3 linked regions of the Canis lupus familiaris genome follow. The protein of the gene in region 1 binds, or shares a complex with, the protein of each later gene. Links are inferred from orthologs where the notes say so. Each region holds a gene or a part of one and is shown in the gene's direction. Other genes may lie near its edges.

Region 1 (4,533 bases):
AAAAAAGGGGGCTCCCATGACGCAGGAGAAATTTTTGTATAAGGTAGAACTTTTTCAGACTCTGGGCTGTTTATTTAGGTCTTGGGATGAGCGCTCTTTGGCCATTGGCCCTGGAAATATCGGAGAAGTTTCCTGTTCTCTTTCTCTGAGTGGTTCAGATAGCCACTTGCTTCCCACCAGATGCCTCTGGGGGCCCCCTCCAGCTTAGCTTTGACTGTTTCCCGGCAGTCCCCTAGAGAAGGTTAGGTGAGGTCTCAGAGAAGTGCTCCCCAGTTTCCCTGGGCCAGCATTTTCCTTTATGTCTTCTCACATTGGCTCAGGGTGTGTTTACAGCCGGTCAAGTTGGCATGTCATGACGTCATCTGATCCTGCTATTCCAGCCCTGCCATTCAGAGTGGACTTAGAAGCTGGGTGGGGGCAGTGAAAATCACTCAAACAAGACCTTTTTGGTGATATAGAGTGGGACTGATCAGGAGACCTCAAGGTCATTTAGTTCAACCTCCTACAGAATAACTTCCTACAACAGGTGCTTTACCTACATACTTTTGAATTCGCACAACCTTGGAGGTAGGGTTTCATAGGTGTGGCATTGGAGATTAAGACGAGTTATTTGGGGGGGATCCCTGGATGGGTCGGCAGTTTAGTGCCTGCCTTCCGCCCAGGGCGTTGCCCTGGAGTCTTGGGATCGAGTACCACGTTGGGCTCCCTGCATGGAGCCTGCTTTTCTCTCTCTGCCTGTGTCTCTGCCTGTGTCTCTGCCTCTCTCTCTCTCTGTGTGTGTGTCTCTCACGAATAAATAAATAAAATCTAAAAAAAAAAAAAAAAAAAAAAAGATTTCTTTGTTCGGGGTCACACTGCTGGTAAAGGAGTGCCTGTGTTAAATTGGCCCGGCAATAAAATCTGTGCCCTTGTCTTTGGGACATGCAGCAGAGAAAACTGTGGCCCAGAGAGGTGGAGTCTCCAAAGCCACACAAGCTGACCTGGGACTAGAATTCAGGCTCCGAACTATTCATCATGGAGTCTTCCCGGGACACGTGGCCTCTTCGACTTCTAATGTGGGGAGGCCAAGGATGCGGCCTGGCTCAGACCAGCGTGGCTCAAGTTAGCTGAAAAGCAGTCAGGCTCTGGACAAATGCTGTGCAGCATTTGTCCGGACAGGCTGCATTCTTTGCCCTCCAGACGCTGCTTGTAGCCAACGTCGTCACAAGCCAGCTTCCAGGAGGGCTTGGCAGGGCGATGGGCCCGGCTAGTCTGTTTCTTGTGGAGCCAATATATGGCCAGGGCGGAGCCGGAGAGGCGTAGTGAAAAAAAAAGTGGGGTCAGAATCTCTGGGTTCTGGTCTATGCTGGGACCCATGGGACCTATGGTAAGTCACTTAAAACTCTGAATTTCCTGGTCTCAAAACCAGGCAAGAGTAAACTGCAGAACCTGAAGCGCGCATACGCAAAAGCAGAATCGATACACGCCAAAGCAGTATCATCCGATGTGAGTTTCGCAGGCTGTTGAGTCTTCTGGCCCTGCAGCCCCAGCGAGGCCGAGACTGCAATACGCGGAGAAAACGACAACTCCCAGGAAGCACCGGGCGGGCCCGTACGCGGGCAAAGGGATAAACTACAATTCCCAGGAGGCACCGGGCGGGCAGGCGCCGAGCGGTGACGTCTCGGGGGCCGGCGCGGGGCGCTGATTCGGCCGGAGCTGCCAGCGGGGTGGCTGCCGCCGCGGGTTGTTACAGCTGCTGGAGCAGCAGCGGCCCCCGCCCCCGGGCACCCCTCCTGGGCCCTCGACCGCCGGCCCTGTACTGTGAGTACGGGCGAGCGGCTTCGGGGTGGACCAACCGGGACCCTCCTCTCGGGGCTAGAGGCGGGGCGGGATAGAAGGTGGGGGCTGCTGAGGAAGCGCCCCGGGCTGGAGCGGACCTGGGAAGGGGGAGCGGAGGTGGGAGGGGGTGCATCAGCCGAAGGGATGCCCACGGGGGGAGGGAGGGACGGGAGACCGAGTCTGGGGTGTCGCGAGGAGTGCTCGGGCCGGGGGAGGGGGCGGGGAGAGCCCGGGCTTCGGGGATAAAGGTTTGGCCGCCTCCGGGGTTGGGTGAACGCGTGGACGTGGGGGTGGGGCTTCGGACCGGGCCGGGCTGGGCTCCGAGTGCGAGGTCTCAGGCTGGGGAGCGAAGCGGGAGGCCCCTCTACGGCTTGAGGTCCCGCTCCGAAAATCCCAACAATAGCGTAGGCTCCACCTCGTTTCACCCTCCTCCCCGGCTAGTGGAGGTTCGCCCCGGTACTCGTCGTCTTTCCATTCCACTGCCCTCGCGAGTCCGGGAGGCAGGGCCAGACAGAGCTACGAGGTGAGTGACTGTGGCCCTGCGGGTTGGGCGGTGGGCAGAATGAAAATGGCATCGTGGAGTGCTGCCAGGCACTGCCCGTGGGGTCCAGGTTGTGGGCTCGGATGTTTTTGTGCTTCTCTTCGAGAAGACAAAAAAAAAAAAAAAAAAAAAAAGGTTTGCTAATTAAAGGGCTTCCCTTACTTGGGGGAAAGAATGGGAAGCGCTCACCTGGCAGCTGTCCTGGGGCACACTATGGCCTGGGCTTAGGTGCCAGACTGACAGGCGGGCAGGGATATTGGTGTGTGGAGCCAGGGTGGAGGGAAAAAAGAGTAGAGAAGAGCTACCAGCAAGAAAGTAGTTAACAGAACAGAGTTGCTGCAGGCTTTGGTTCAAGACAGGTTATGAAACCACATCAGGCACTGCCATGCAGCCACCTGCCAGCTGGGGCAACAACTTTTCAGCCTCAGCTGCTGTAGACTTACTTTACCTCTGCCAGGTTTTCCCTGTTTCTTCCCTTCACAGTGGAGGGGTGGGGTATGCAATTTTTTTTTTTTCCACTAGTGGAAGTGGTATGTACCCTTAGTCATGCAAACTTCTAGGAGAGTGCTCCTTGGGTGCCAGTTGTTTTCGTAGTTTCTTGATTTCTTGTCTTTTTGGCTGCCAGTCATTTTCTTAGTTTCTGGATTTCTTCTGTGTTTTTTTTTTTTTTTTTTTTTTTTGCGGGGGTGAGGGGTGTCTTCTGAGATTTCTGCTGTCAGGGCAGCTAGTGTTCAGTCTTTAGGAAGATGCTTCTGAGGGTATCAGTTAGGTCCTAGGTCTAGGTTCTTCTGAGACTCATCAGTCTTCATTAGATGCTCTGTTTCAGCAAGACAGGAGTGTGGGATGATCTGAGATTCACCAAAGCCCTTGGTACTGCTGGACAAAATATGAGACACAGCTACAGATCTTTGTAATCCTGTACCTTTGTAGGTCTAGGAGAAGTGGGGAGGGATAGCAGTTTCTGGTTAGACTTCGGGAACTCTGCCTCTCTCCTTAAAGACCTCACTTCCCTAGCCAGCTCCCCACTGCCCCAGGCTTTTGTGTGTACCCATCCCAGAAGCTGTGTTAGGGTAACTGAAGCTCCAGGGCCCTGGAAAGGTAAACAACTGAGCCAGTCTCGGTTTTCTAGTTCCTTGGGTTTCTGTTAGGCCCAATTATCCAGCCTAATGGGCTGAGCTGATGGGTCCCAGGAGAATTACCTCTAGGATGCACTCTGGGCCATCTCAAACATGTTTGCATGTTGGGAAGGTGTGTTGTGGGTCACATTTCCCATGAGGTCTCTTAGCTTGGAGCTCTCTGAGAAGAGGAAACTTGTTCTCATTATTCTGGAAGTAAGGAACCGATCCTTGAGAATCCTGGCTCCCACACAGACTTGGCTGTGATCCTAGCCAGAGATAGATAGCATCTGAATCTGAGGGGGTTTGTTGCAGCAGGGTGAAGGAGGTGGCCTTCTGGGCACTTTCTGGTTACCTGCACCCAGGACCCGTTTCTGCACACCCCCCCCCAAGATGGGGTTGTTACCATGGTGATGACCTTAGGGCCTTTATTGGGGAGGACCTTTCCTCACCTAGGGAGGTGAGCCAGTATAAAGGTACAGTCCGTTCCCACCTCCTGCTGGTTACAGGGCCCTTAGGGATCTGGGGACAGCTGAGCTCCAGACAAGGGGCTACTCATTCCCCTCCTTATGTGCATCCAGGAATGCATCTGGATTGCATTGTTTCTGGGGCATCCAGGGCAGCCCTCCTGGTTCCTCCTGCTGCAGGCCTCTGGCATTGGAGCTTGGGCAAGGAAAGCAGGTGCTGGGAAAAGAGGCTGAGGGGTGAGGCTGGGCTGGGCAGAGAGGAATGGGGGCAGGAGGCAGGTAGGGTTTTTGTGTCCTTGGGAGGTGGGTGTTGGTGTGGGTTTCAGCAACTTGGAGCTGTAGATGTTCTCCATCCTCGCCCCTCCTATGGTGGGGAAAAGGGCCCTGGTGGTTTGGCAGCAGAGTGGATGGCATCACAAGGGTTAGCCTGAGCGGCTGCCAGATGCATAAAACATCTCGCATGGGTTGCTTTGTGTCACCAAGAAAGAGGCCTCCAAGTCTGGGCAGAGGTTGTCCCTCGTCTCTTGTCTTCTCTTTTCTTCCTTCCCTCCCTCTTTCCACTCTGTTGGTTCTCCTGGATCAGGGTTGGGAG
Region 2 (4,399 bases), on another chromosome or scaffold:
ATTGAGCCCCACGTTGGGACTCAGCAGGGAGTCAGCTCGAGGATTCTCTCTACCCCTTCTCTGCTCCCCCTAAATAAATAAATTAATTAATTAAAAAATAACCAACACTTAATAATTTTTTTTACTAATGTCAAGGTCTTATACAAAACATACTACATGTATTAACTGAAATCCTCAGGACAACTATTATTACTTCCACTGGACAGATGAAAATACATAGCAGTCATGCAGCTAGTAAGTCACACAGTCAGGATTCAAACCCAGACCACTTCCAGAGTCAATATTCTTTACTATGACACCAAATTCTTTATGGGTAACCGAAAAGTCTCTTGTTATGATGTAGATCCACTTCCTTACTAACCCCTGTGGGAAGAGAGAACTCAAGGGGTGCAAAAATGATATTTATTATGCTCCTACAATGGCCCAGGCAGTATGACAGGTGCACAATGTTTTATTAACATATTTCTTGCAATGAGCCTGTGAAACAGGAAGTGTTAATTCTATTTTAAAGAATTTATGGGCACCTGGGTGGCTCAGTGGTTGAGCATCTATCTGCCTTTGGCTCAGGTCGTGACCCTGGGGTCCTGGGGTCGAGTCCTGCATCAGGCTCCCTGCATGGAGCCTGCTTCTCCCTCTGCCTATGTCCCTCCCTCTCTCTGTGTGTTTCTCATGAATAAATAAATAAAATCTTAAAGAAGAAAAAAAAAAAAAAGACTTTGGCTCCAAAAGCAGCTAAATATTCAGGTTTCCTGACTCTTACGGAAGTACTCTTTAAAGGAAGTCGTACAGAAAACCCCGATTAGGGGCAGATGTGAAGGGCAAAGAGACTTCCGACTTACTAAGAAATGTGTTGCTGTAAGGTGCTTGCTGAAGAACAGTGAGAGAATGCTAAAAATGCTATTCTACAGACACCCACAGAGGAATTAGCTAATTAAATAAAGGAGCTTTGTCTCCGCTGGGGATTCATACCCCAGAACTTCCCCGGGGGCAAGGGCAGAGAGGGCGCCACCTGTCCGGGAGAGCCCGGGAGAGCCCGGGACCCGCTCTGGACGCTCGGGCTCAGCCCCGTTCCTCTCCTCCAGTCTAATTGGCCCAGTGCTCCCTGGGCCCCGCCTCCTCTGCGTGGACCGAGAAGCCGCCAGCCCCGCCCCCTCCTCGACACCGGCGAGCCGCCTTGCCGCCGCCCGTGATTGGCCAGACAGCAGCACGGGACCGCCCCCTCCTCCCGCAGATTGGCCAGCAGTCCTGCCCGGCCCCGCCCCTCCGCGGGCCCGGCCCCGCCCCCCGTGACGGCCGGGCGGGTAATTGGCGGCGGCGTGCAGCCATTTCCGGTTTCGGGGAGGTGGGTGGGGTGCGGAGCGGGGCTGGGGCCGCCGCCGCCTGGGCCGCCGCCTACAGAGCCTGCCTCGCGCCTGGTGCTGCCGGGACGATGCGGCCGGGGCCCGGAGGCTGCTGCTGCCGTCGCCCGCTGCGGGCGAACGGCTGTGTGGCGAACGGGGAGGTGCGGAACGGGTATGTGAGGAGCAGCGCCGCCGCCGCCGCCGCCGGCCAGGTATGGTGGGAGCGGGCGGCCGGGCTGAGCCGGAGGTGGGGGCCGGGGCCCCGCGAGCCGCGCCCGTGCGGAGCCGCGGGGGGCGGCCCGGCGGGGCGAGGTCGCGGGGGCGGGCTCAGGTGTGCGGGCGGCGGCGTCCTGGCGCGGACCGGGCCTGGCCCGAGCGAGGGCTCGAGGGCGGCGGAGGGGCTCCCGCGTGTCTCCGCGCCTGCGGTCTCCCCACTTTCCTCTGCTCCGAGCCCCAGTGCCTTGCTGCTCCTGCGCTGGCCAGAGGTACGGGCTGACCCCGCGGGCCCCGGGAGGGCCCCCTGGGGGGCTTGGTTCTTCGTCTCGAGGCTCCCTCCTCGCGTCCTCGAGGGGCTGGCTTCCTTGCAGAGCCCTGAGACTCTCCGCGGAAAACCAGGAGGCAGAGAAAGTTAGGAGGTGGTGCCAGGCTCCTTCTCCAGGATGCCCAGCCCTCCTGCAAGTGAGGCGTGGGACCACAGATCGGGCATGACCCCCCCCCGCCCCCGGCCGGTGCCTCTCGAGCCTTACGCGCTTCCTCGGCCCCGGGCTCTAGGTCGGGGTCGGTGGTCCCCGCGGTCCCCGTGGTCCCCGTGGGCAGGAGTGCCGTCACACCAGCGGCTTGCTGACCCCGGGTGGGGGCTTGTGATGAGTCTCCATTCCGGTGAACCAAGCCTGAATCAGCAGCCAAGTCCAGAGTTCGGGGGGGAAAGAAAAAAAAATTTTTTTTGGGGGGGGGGAGTTTTGAATTGAAGACTGTAATCAGTAACAGCCTTCCAATTCTCTGGATTGACAGATTCTCCTGAAATGCGTCTTTTAAAAATGAGCCGCTTAAAAAAAAAAAACAATCAGTGTTGATGGAAGAGTGTTGTGAGATTTCAGTTGACTTTAATACTTATAAATCCCATTTAGATATATTTTTCAAAATTTTTTAATTTATCTATTCATGAGAGATAGAGAGATAGAGACACAGGCAGAGGGAGAAGCAGGCTCCATGCAGGGAGCCCGACGTGGGACTTGATCCCGGGTCTCTAGGATCATGCCCTGGGCTGAAGGCGGCATCTGGGCTGCCCCCATTTAGATATTAAGGCAAACATTTTCTTGCCCCAAAGTCCTCTTTTCCCAAGAGCAGTAGTGTGACTATTGTGATTTAAATTGGCTTTAATGTAAATATCTAGCAGCCTCCCCCCACCCCCCCCAGTCAAGTAGATGGGATAGATGGGCCTGTTACTGTTTGGTGTGGAACAGAAAATAAAGAACTCCTCCAGGTCATGTTGACATAGTAAGACTGTGAGAGTTGGAGGGAAAACACATAAAAGAGACTTGACCTCCCCCTGAAGTTGGAAGCACTGTAATGCACAGATTCCAAAGATTTATTTTCATTTTTTAAAAAAAGATTTTATTCATTTATTCATGAAAGACACAGAGAGAGAGGCGGAGACATAGGCAGAGGGAGAAGCAGGCTCCATGCATGAAGCCCGACGTGGGACTCAGTCCCAAGACCCTGGGATCACGCCCTGAGCCAAAGGCAGATGCTCAACCACTGAGCCACCCAGGCATCCCTATTTTCATTTTTAAAGGAATAATTGAGTGAGGGAGGAAGTGATAAGAACACCCTCATTATTGACCGTGTAAGGCTTTTTTTTTTTTTTTTTTTTTTTTTTTTTTTAGCAACAAAAATTGCTGTGGTAGAGAATGTAACAGGGAAACTTAGCAGGTGGGAGTCAGAAAATACGTTGCAGATGAATGAGTGGATTATGATTTTTAAGAGGGAAAAGGAAGTCAAGAGAAAGGTGCTCACACTTCAGAGGTGTTTTGTGTTTTGGTGTGCTTTTCACTTAACGTAGGAGTTATAGTCTGATTTAATAGTGAATTCCTCCCATAATCTCTAACAATCTAGCATTTGTAGACATGATATTTCTTCAGAGATTGCGGACTGTTAATAAGATGAAGACATATCAGGTTGCTAAAGTGAAATTTAAAATCTGTATGACTCTAACTTCTGGCTGACTTTTTCTAGTGTATTTTAGTGAAAAATTCCACTCAAGACACTATGGTGGCATCTGGAAGACTGGTTTAGTGGAAACACCTGAAAGAAAACTCTTTGTCACTAGTCTTTTTAAATCAAAGACTTTAGGGATATAGCTTTGTACATGAATATGAGGAATATTGTCTATTAGGGTTTTTTTTTTTTTTTTTCCTTAAGCAAAGGAGAGGTTTTTGGTAACTTCATGAGAACAAGAATATCTTTAAAATAATATAAGTTGTTTTTATTTTAATTAAAGTGGTATGTTAGTGCACCAACCCCCTATTTATTTTCCCCCACTTTCTGGGGGAAATGTTGCCAATTATGCCATAAAAATACATGTAAGATGTTAAGTGTGCAAGTGTGTGTCATCTTTTAATTATGAAAGTATAAATTCAGAGTTTTTAAACCCGAGATACACATTCATTTCCTTACGTATCCCAGCATTCTTGTCTTTGAATGAACAGGAGAGAAGTTAGAAATTTCTGGGATTCCTTTACACTCTCAAGAGTTTCTGTGTTTGAAGGAATGAATGTATATGCTTTCCCTTTGTTGGATTTTGGTCAGAGTTTGAGTACATAGATCCTGTAGTAGAAAGGGCATATAAAACAATTAAACGTTGCTGTTTGTTTTTATTTTCTCGTTTATCCTCTACTTTTTTCTTACTGTGATAAAATACATGTAATGTAAAATTTAGTATCTTAACCATTTGTAAGTGTGCAATTCAGTGACATTAAATACATTCATCGGGCAGCCCCCGTGGCTCAGCGGTTTAGCGCTGCCTGCAGCCCAGGGTGTGATCCTGGAGACCCGGGATC
Region 3 (4,417 bases), on another chromosome or scaffold:
GAAAACAGTGTGGAGGTTCCTGAAGCAGCTAAAAATAGAGCTACCCTAAGACCCAGCGATTGCACTACTGGGTATTTACTCCAAAGACACAAATGTAGTGTCCAAAGGGGCACCTGCACTCCAGTTTTCACAGCAGCAATGTCCACAAGAGCCAAACTATGAAAAGAGTTGAGATGTCCATTGACAGATGAATAGATAAAGAAGCAGTGGTCTATATATACAATGGAATATGACTCAGCCAGCAGAAAGGATGAATACCCAGCATTTACATCGACATGGATGGAACTGGAGGGTATTATGCTGAGTGAAGTAAGTCAATCAGAGAAAGACAATTATGATATGGTTTCACTCATATGAGGCATATAAGAAACAGTGCAGAAGATCATAGGGAAGGGAGAGAAAACTGAATGGGAAAAAATCGGAGAGGGAGACAAACCATGAGAGACTCTTAACTACAGGAAACAGATTGAGGGTTGCTGAAGGGGAGGAGGTGGGGAGTTGGGGTAACTGGGTGATGGGCATTAAGGAGGGCATGTAACGGGATGAGCACTGAGTGCTACATGCAACTGATGAATCACTAACTCTAATCTAAAGCTGACCATGTTCTACATGTTGGCTAATTGCATTAAAAAAATATTCCCACATGAACAGGAAGATACATGCACATAGATGCTTCCTGCTGCATTATTGCTAACAGAGGCAGAAGTAGAAAACAACCTAAGTGTCCACTAACAGGAAAATATGTAAGTAAAATGGAACAAGAAATATGTATTTATAACAAGACGTAGTCTTCTTTAAGACGAAAAATGCAAGATTTATGGATGAATGGGAAAAACACCCCAAGAAAAAAAATAAATAGAAAAAAAAAGCAAATTGTATATCACTATTATCCCTAGGGTCCCAGTTAGATTTAAGACATCCAAGCCAAGTAAATAAGTGTGTGCACACCACATTTGCATGTGCCAAAGAAGGTTCTAGAAGGTTCCACACCAAAGTACTGCATGGCTTAATTCTCTCCAAGCATTGGTCTATGCAGGACACACCCTAAGTGCTCTATAAGAGGTTACATATGTTTATTATATATATGATATATAATAATTTCTGTATTTTTTATGATAATGCATTCCTGGGTTCCTCTGTCATTTAAAAGTAAAGAGCACATCTTTGATTACAGAACACTCCCCGCCCAGGGCAGGGGCCATTTATTATTAATGCCTCCATCCCGAGGGCCCAGCACGGGTCCTGGCACAACACCTGCCGGAGGAGCCCCTCCGGGCTCGCATCCCTCCCGGCCGCCAGGTGAGCCCCACGCCTCTGAAGCCTCGGGTCCCGCGTTCCTCCAGCGCGCAAGCGCCGAGGGGCGGGGCCCAGTCTCTCCAGCCCCGCCCCCAAGCGCTGCTGCGTCACTGGGCTGCGCCGCGCGCTGTTTGACGTGCCCGCGACCCGCCTTCCGGAAGGAAGCGCCAGAGGCTGACTATGGCGACCGCCGCGGAGCAGTGGGTGCTGGTGGAGATGGTCCAGGCGCTTTACGAGGTGAGCTTGGCGGCCCGAGCGGCCCACGACCATACCCAGCCCCGCAGGCGTGGGGCGGCTCTGGCGGACTGGCGGTCTGCGGCCCACGCGGGGTTGGCCGGGTCACGCCCTGACCCTCGGCTCCTCTGGCCGGAGGGCCTCGCGGGGGAGGCACCGGCGGGAGCGGGGACCCAGGGGCGCCTTGGGCTCGCGGAGGGGGGCGGGGGGTGAGGGGCGCTCAGGAGAGGAGCAGGTGGGAGGGGGCCGGGAGCGAGGCTGGGCTTGAAAACCTGTGGGGGTGGAGAAAATAGAGCGGAGGATCGCAGCCGGGAAGGCCGTGGGGGCTGCGGGGCGGGGGACAGGGGACAGCGCTGTACACTGGAGTTCGGTTCTGTCGGGGCGAGGGGTCACGAAAGCCGAACGATTCAGGAACTGGGAATACGAAATCGTTTCCCATTCTTCCACTTGCGCCCCCTTTTCTGTCCTGTAAAGAAACAACAATTTTTTAGAGATTTTTTTTTTTTTTTTAAAGGCTATTCCGGATAATTAAGGGTTTTTTGAAAGGCTGGCTGAGCCGCGCTACCCGGTGCAGGAGCCGTTCAGTGTAGTAGCCACTACCCACATGTGGCTGCTGGCCCTTGAAATGCGTCCAGTGCAAGCGGAGGGACTACATTTTTCATTTGATTTCGTTTAGATGTATATTTTTACACAGTTAGGTGGTGACGGGTGGCTACGGATCTAGAGGCGGGGGCTAGTGCACTGATCAAACAGGGCAAAAACTCCTGCGCTATATTACAGAGCCCCTCTTCATTGAAAGCGAGCCTCAGATTTTCTTCTGATAATTCTGTAAAACCTGAACATAGCTGCTTACTGGCGAGGGGAGACCCTGGTGTCTTCCACTGCGAGACTTATCAGGACTTCCTGAAAAAAGAATTGACAACAGATGTGGTGTGAGTGATGGCCCACCTTAACCTAATTATGGTAACTGAGATAAGAGCCTCTGAAATTGAAGGGTTTTTTTTGTTTGCTTGTTTTTTTAATGACCAATTTTCTGTGTTGTTTCCTTTTTGAAGGCTACCTAACTGACCAAGAGTGAGGTGTTCTCTTGGATGTGACATTCCCAGGGAAAGAAGCTGCGTTTGTGATTTTGATTTAATTCACTAGACAGTATCTCAGTTTTTCTTAGGATGATTTCTTTGTGGAGCGAGATGCTTAGAGACTTGGGCAGATGCTTGCCTATTAGAGTGCAATTGTTGAGAAAACCGAAAGAATGCTTAGACCACAGTCCTTATTCTTAAATGAATTGTATTCAAGGGGGATCAGTATGTTTAAAAATCATCTTAAAGAGAGATTTCCAGTCTTTTTTTTTTTTTTTTTTTTTAAGATATTGTTTATTTATTCATGAGAGACACACAGAGAGAGAGGCAGAGGGAGAAGCAGGCCCCATGCAGGGAGCCTGATGAGAGACTCGATCCCCAGACTCCAGGATCACAGCCTGGGCCAAAGGCAGGCGCTAAACCACTGAGCCATCCAGAGATCCCCGAGATTTCCATTCTTGTTTCCAGTTTTGATATAGTTAGTGTGTAGAGTTTGAGGGGTCTTGTACCCAAAAGAGAAATAATAGTGTGTGTATGTGACATGTATGTAGTTAGAAAACTATTTGTGTATTGACTTAGATATTTACCTACATTCGAATTTGTCTGCTTTCCTTCTGTCCACATTCTAGGTTTTTTTAAACTATGAGGAATCATCTTCACTTTCTTTTTGTCTAGTGTTTGAAAATGATCTGTAATTATGTTCTAAACACCTCTTTTAAATGACTTTCCAGTGCCAGCCTGTTGGAGTGGATCACTTTATAACTGTGGTTTAGTCAGTTACAAAGGTCGGAATCTTCCACACACACCTAGAGTGTCTAGTTGTGCAAAACATAAAAGCCCGGCCTTTATCTGGGAAATGCACAGTTGAAAAGAAGACTTGGCATGGATAATTTTAGTAAGGTGTCTTTAGGCCTGTTGACATGGAACACACTGCAACTGCCTACTTTTGGGGAACTGCTATAGGAAAAAGACCTGCCATTCCTTTTGGCATTTATAAAGCTTTTTTTTTTTCTCATCCAGGATCCAAGAAGGTTTTAAAGAGGCTTATCGGGGATTCGGAAAATATAGTAAAATGTGCAAAACTCCAAGAATTGTGGAAACTGATTTTCTGATAACTCCTAACTCATCCATGGTGTATTGGGGTGCTAGAAGGCTGGTGGAGCTGTGAAATGTTGGTTACTGTTCTTTCCTACCAGTAGAAATGTACATTATCTGAAGGATCTGATAGTTGACATTGTTCCTCATGTTGGGATTCTGCATCAGATTTTATTTTGAGAATTAAATTTCTTTCATATAGAGGTGTTAAAGATTTACTATTAAAGATTTTCCATGTGAAGGAGAAATTGCCAACTGTTAGAAATGGGGAAAGGAGTGAGTAGAAATGAAAAGAGTCTTAAAGATTAAGTTTTAATCTTAAGAAGTAATAGGTTAAAGGTCATGGAAGACAGTATATACAGGTGCATTACATTTTATGTGCAGATTTTGGAAGTGTTTATTTTGTTTCTTTTTTTGGTTTTTGACTCATTCTTAGGCTCCTGCTTACCATCTTATTTTGGAAGGAATTCTGATTCTCTGGATAATTAGACTCCTGTTCTCTAAAACTTACAAATTACAAGAACGATCTGATCTTACAGTCAAGGTAAGAAACTAAATCTCTTTTATTTATTACTCAGTGTATGATTACAGTTGCTACATCTTTTCAAAGAGTATTTGTGGTAGCTTACCTATATATGTTGAAATGTTTTCTGTAGTGAAATAATAATATTTTGTGAAACAATACACACTTGAAATGAAAAAAATCAAGGGAA

Evidence for each region. The genes of interacting proteins can lie anywhere in the genome.
Region 2: the proteins of ORMDL3 (region 1) and SPTLC2 are in contact, whole or in part, in a cryo-EM structure (PDB 7K0O), measured with the Homo sapiens proteins. The link is inferred for Canis lupus familiaris from reciprocal best matches to the Homo sapiens genes ORMDL3 and SPTLC2. Residues at the interface, in NP_001307730.1 of Homo sapiens: Met1, Asn2, Val3, Gly4, Thr5, Ala6, His7, Ser8, Pro12, Val16, Ser19, Arg20, Gly21, Ile22, Leu24, Ser25, Leu28, Phe63, Val67, Lys68, Gly69, Thr70, Pro71, Phe72, Glu73, Pro75, Gln77, Arg81; in NP_004854.1 of Homo sapiens: Glu65, Thr66, Pro67, Met68, Ala71, Val72, Tyr75, Tyr86, Gln116, Phe118, Glu119, Asn120, Phe121, Tyr122, Tyr127, Trp134, Asp259, Glu260, Leu261, Asn262, Val267, Arg271, Ile279, Met320, Val495, Val496, Gly497, Phe498, Pro499, Ala500.
Region 3: the proteins of ORMDL3 (region 1) and SPTLC1 are in contact, whole or in part, in a cryo-EM structure (PDB 7K0N), measured with the Homo sapiens proteins. The link is inferred for Canis lupus familiaris from reciprocal best matches to the Homo sapiens genes ORMDL3 and SPTLC1. Residues at the interface, in NP_001307730.1 of Homo sapiens: Gly92, Val93, Gln94, Phe95, Thr96, Ala97, Lys100, Thr103, Ile104, Ile107, Tyr110, Phe111, Ser114, Tyr119, Gln121, Phe124, Thr128, Leu131, Met132, Leu139, Pro140, His143; in NP_006406.1 of Homo sapiens: Ala16, Leu17, Ala20, Pro21, Tyr23, His24, Leu27, Glu28, Leu31, Ile32, Trp34, Ile35, Leu38, Leu39, Ser41, Lys42, Thr43, Tyr44, Lys45, Leu46, Gln47.

The regions. Positions count from the first base shown.
Region 1 is NC_049230.1:22,542,397-22,546,929, forward strand, and holds the start of ORMDL3 (ORM1-like protein 3), read left to right. Parts: upstream 1-1,647; 5' UTR 1,648-1,800; intron 1,801-2,104; exon of another isoform or gene 2,105-2,341; intron 2,342-4,533. UniProt on the Homo sapiens protein: Plays an essential role in the homeostatic regulation of sphingolipid de novo biosynthesis by modulating the activity of the serine palmitoyltransferase (SPT) in response to ceramide levels.
Region 2 is NC_049229.1:50,716,330-50,720,728, reverse strand, and holds the start of SPTLC2 (serine palmitoyltransferase 2), read left to right. Parts: upstream 1-1,378; 5' UTR 1,379-1,429; coding exon 1,430-1,547; coding exon of another isoform or gene 1,548-1,552; intron 1,553-2,055; coding exon 2,056-2,067; intron 2,068-4,399. UniProt on the Homo sapiens protein: Component of the serine palmitoyltransferase multisubunit enzyme (SPT) that catalyzes the initial and rate-limiting step in sphingolipid biosynthesis by condensing L-serine and activated acyl-CoA (most commonly palmitoyl-CoA) to form long-chain bases.
Region 3 is NC_049222.1:95,709,071-95,713,487, forward strand, and holds the start of SPTLC1 (serine palmitoyltransferase 1), read left to right. Parts: upstream 1-1,396; 5' UTR 1,397-1,476; coding exon 1,477-1,533; intron 1,534-4,140; coding exon 4,141-4,248; intron 4,249-4,417. UniProt on the Homo sapiens protein: Component of the serine palmitoyltransferase multisubunit enzyme (SPT) that catalyzes the initial and rate-limiting step in sphingolipid biosynthesis by condensing L-serine and activated acyl-CoA (most commonly palmitoyl-CoA) to form long-chain bases.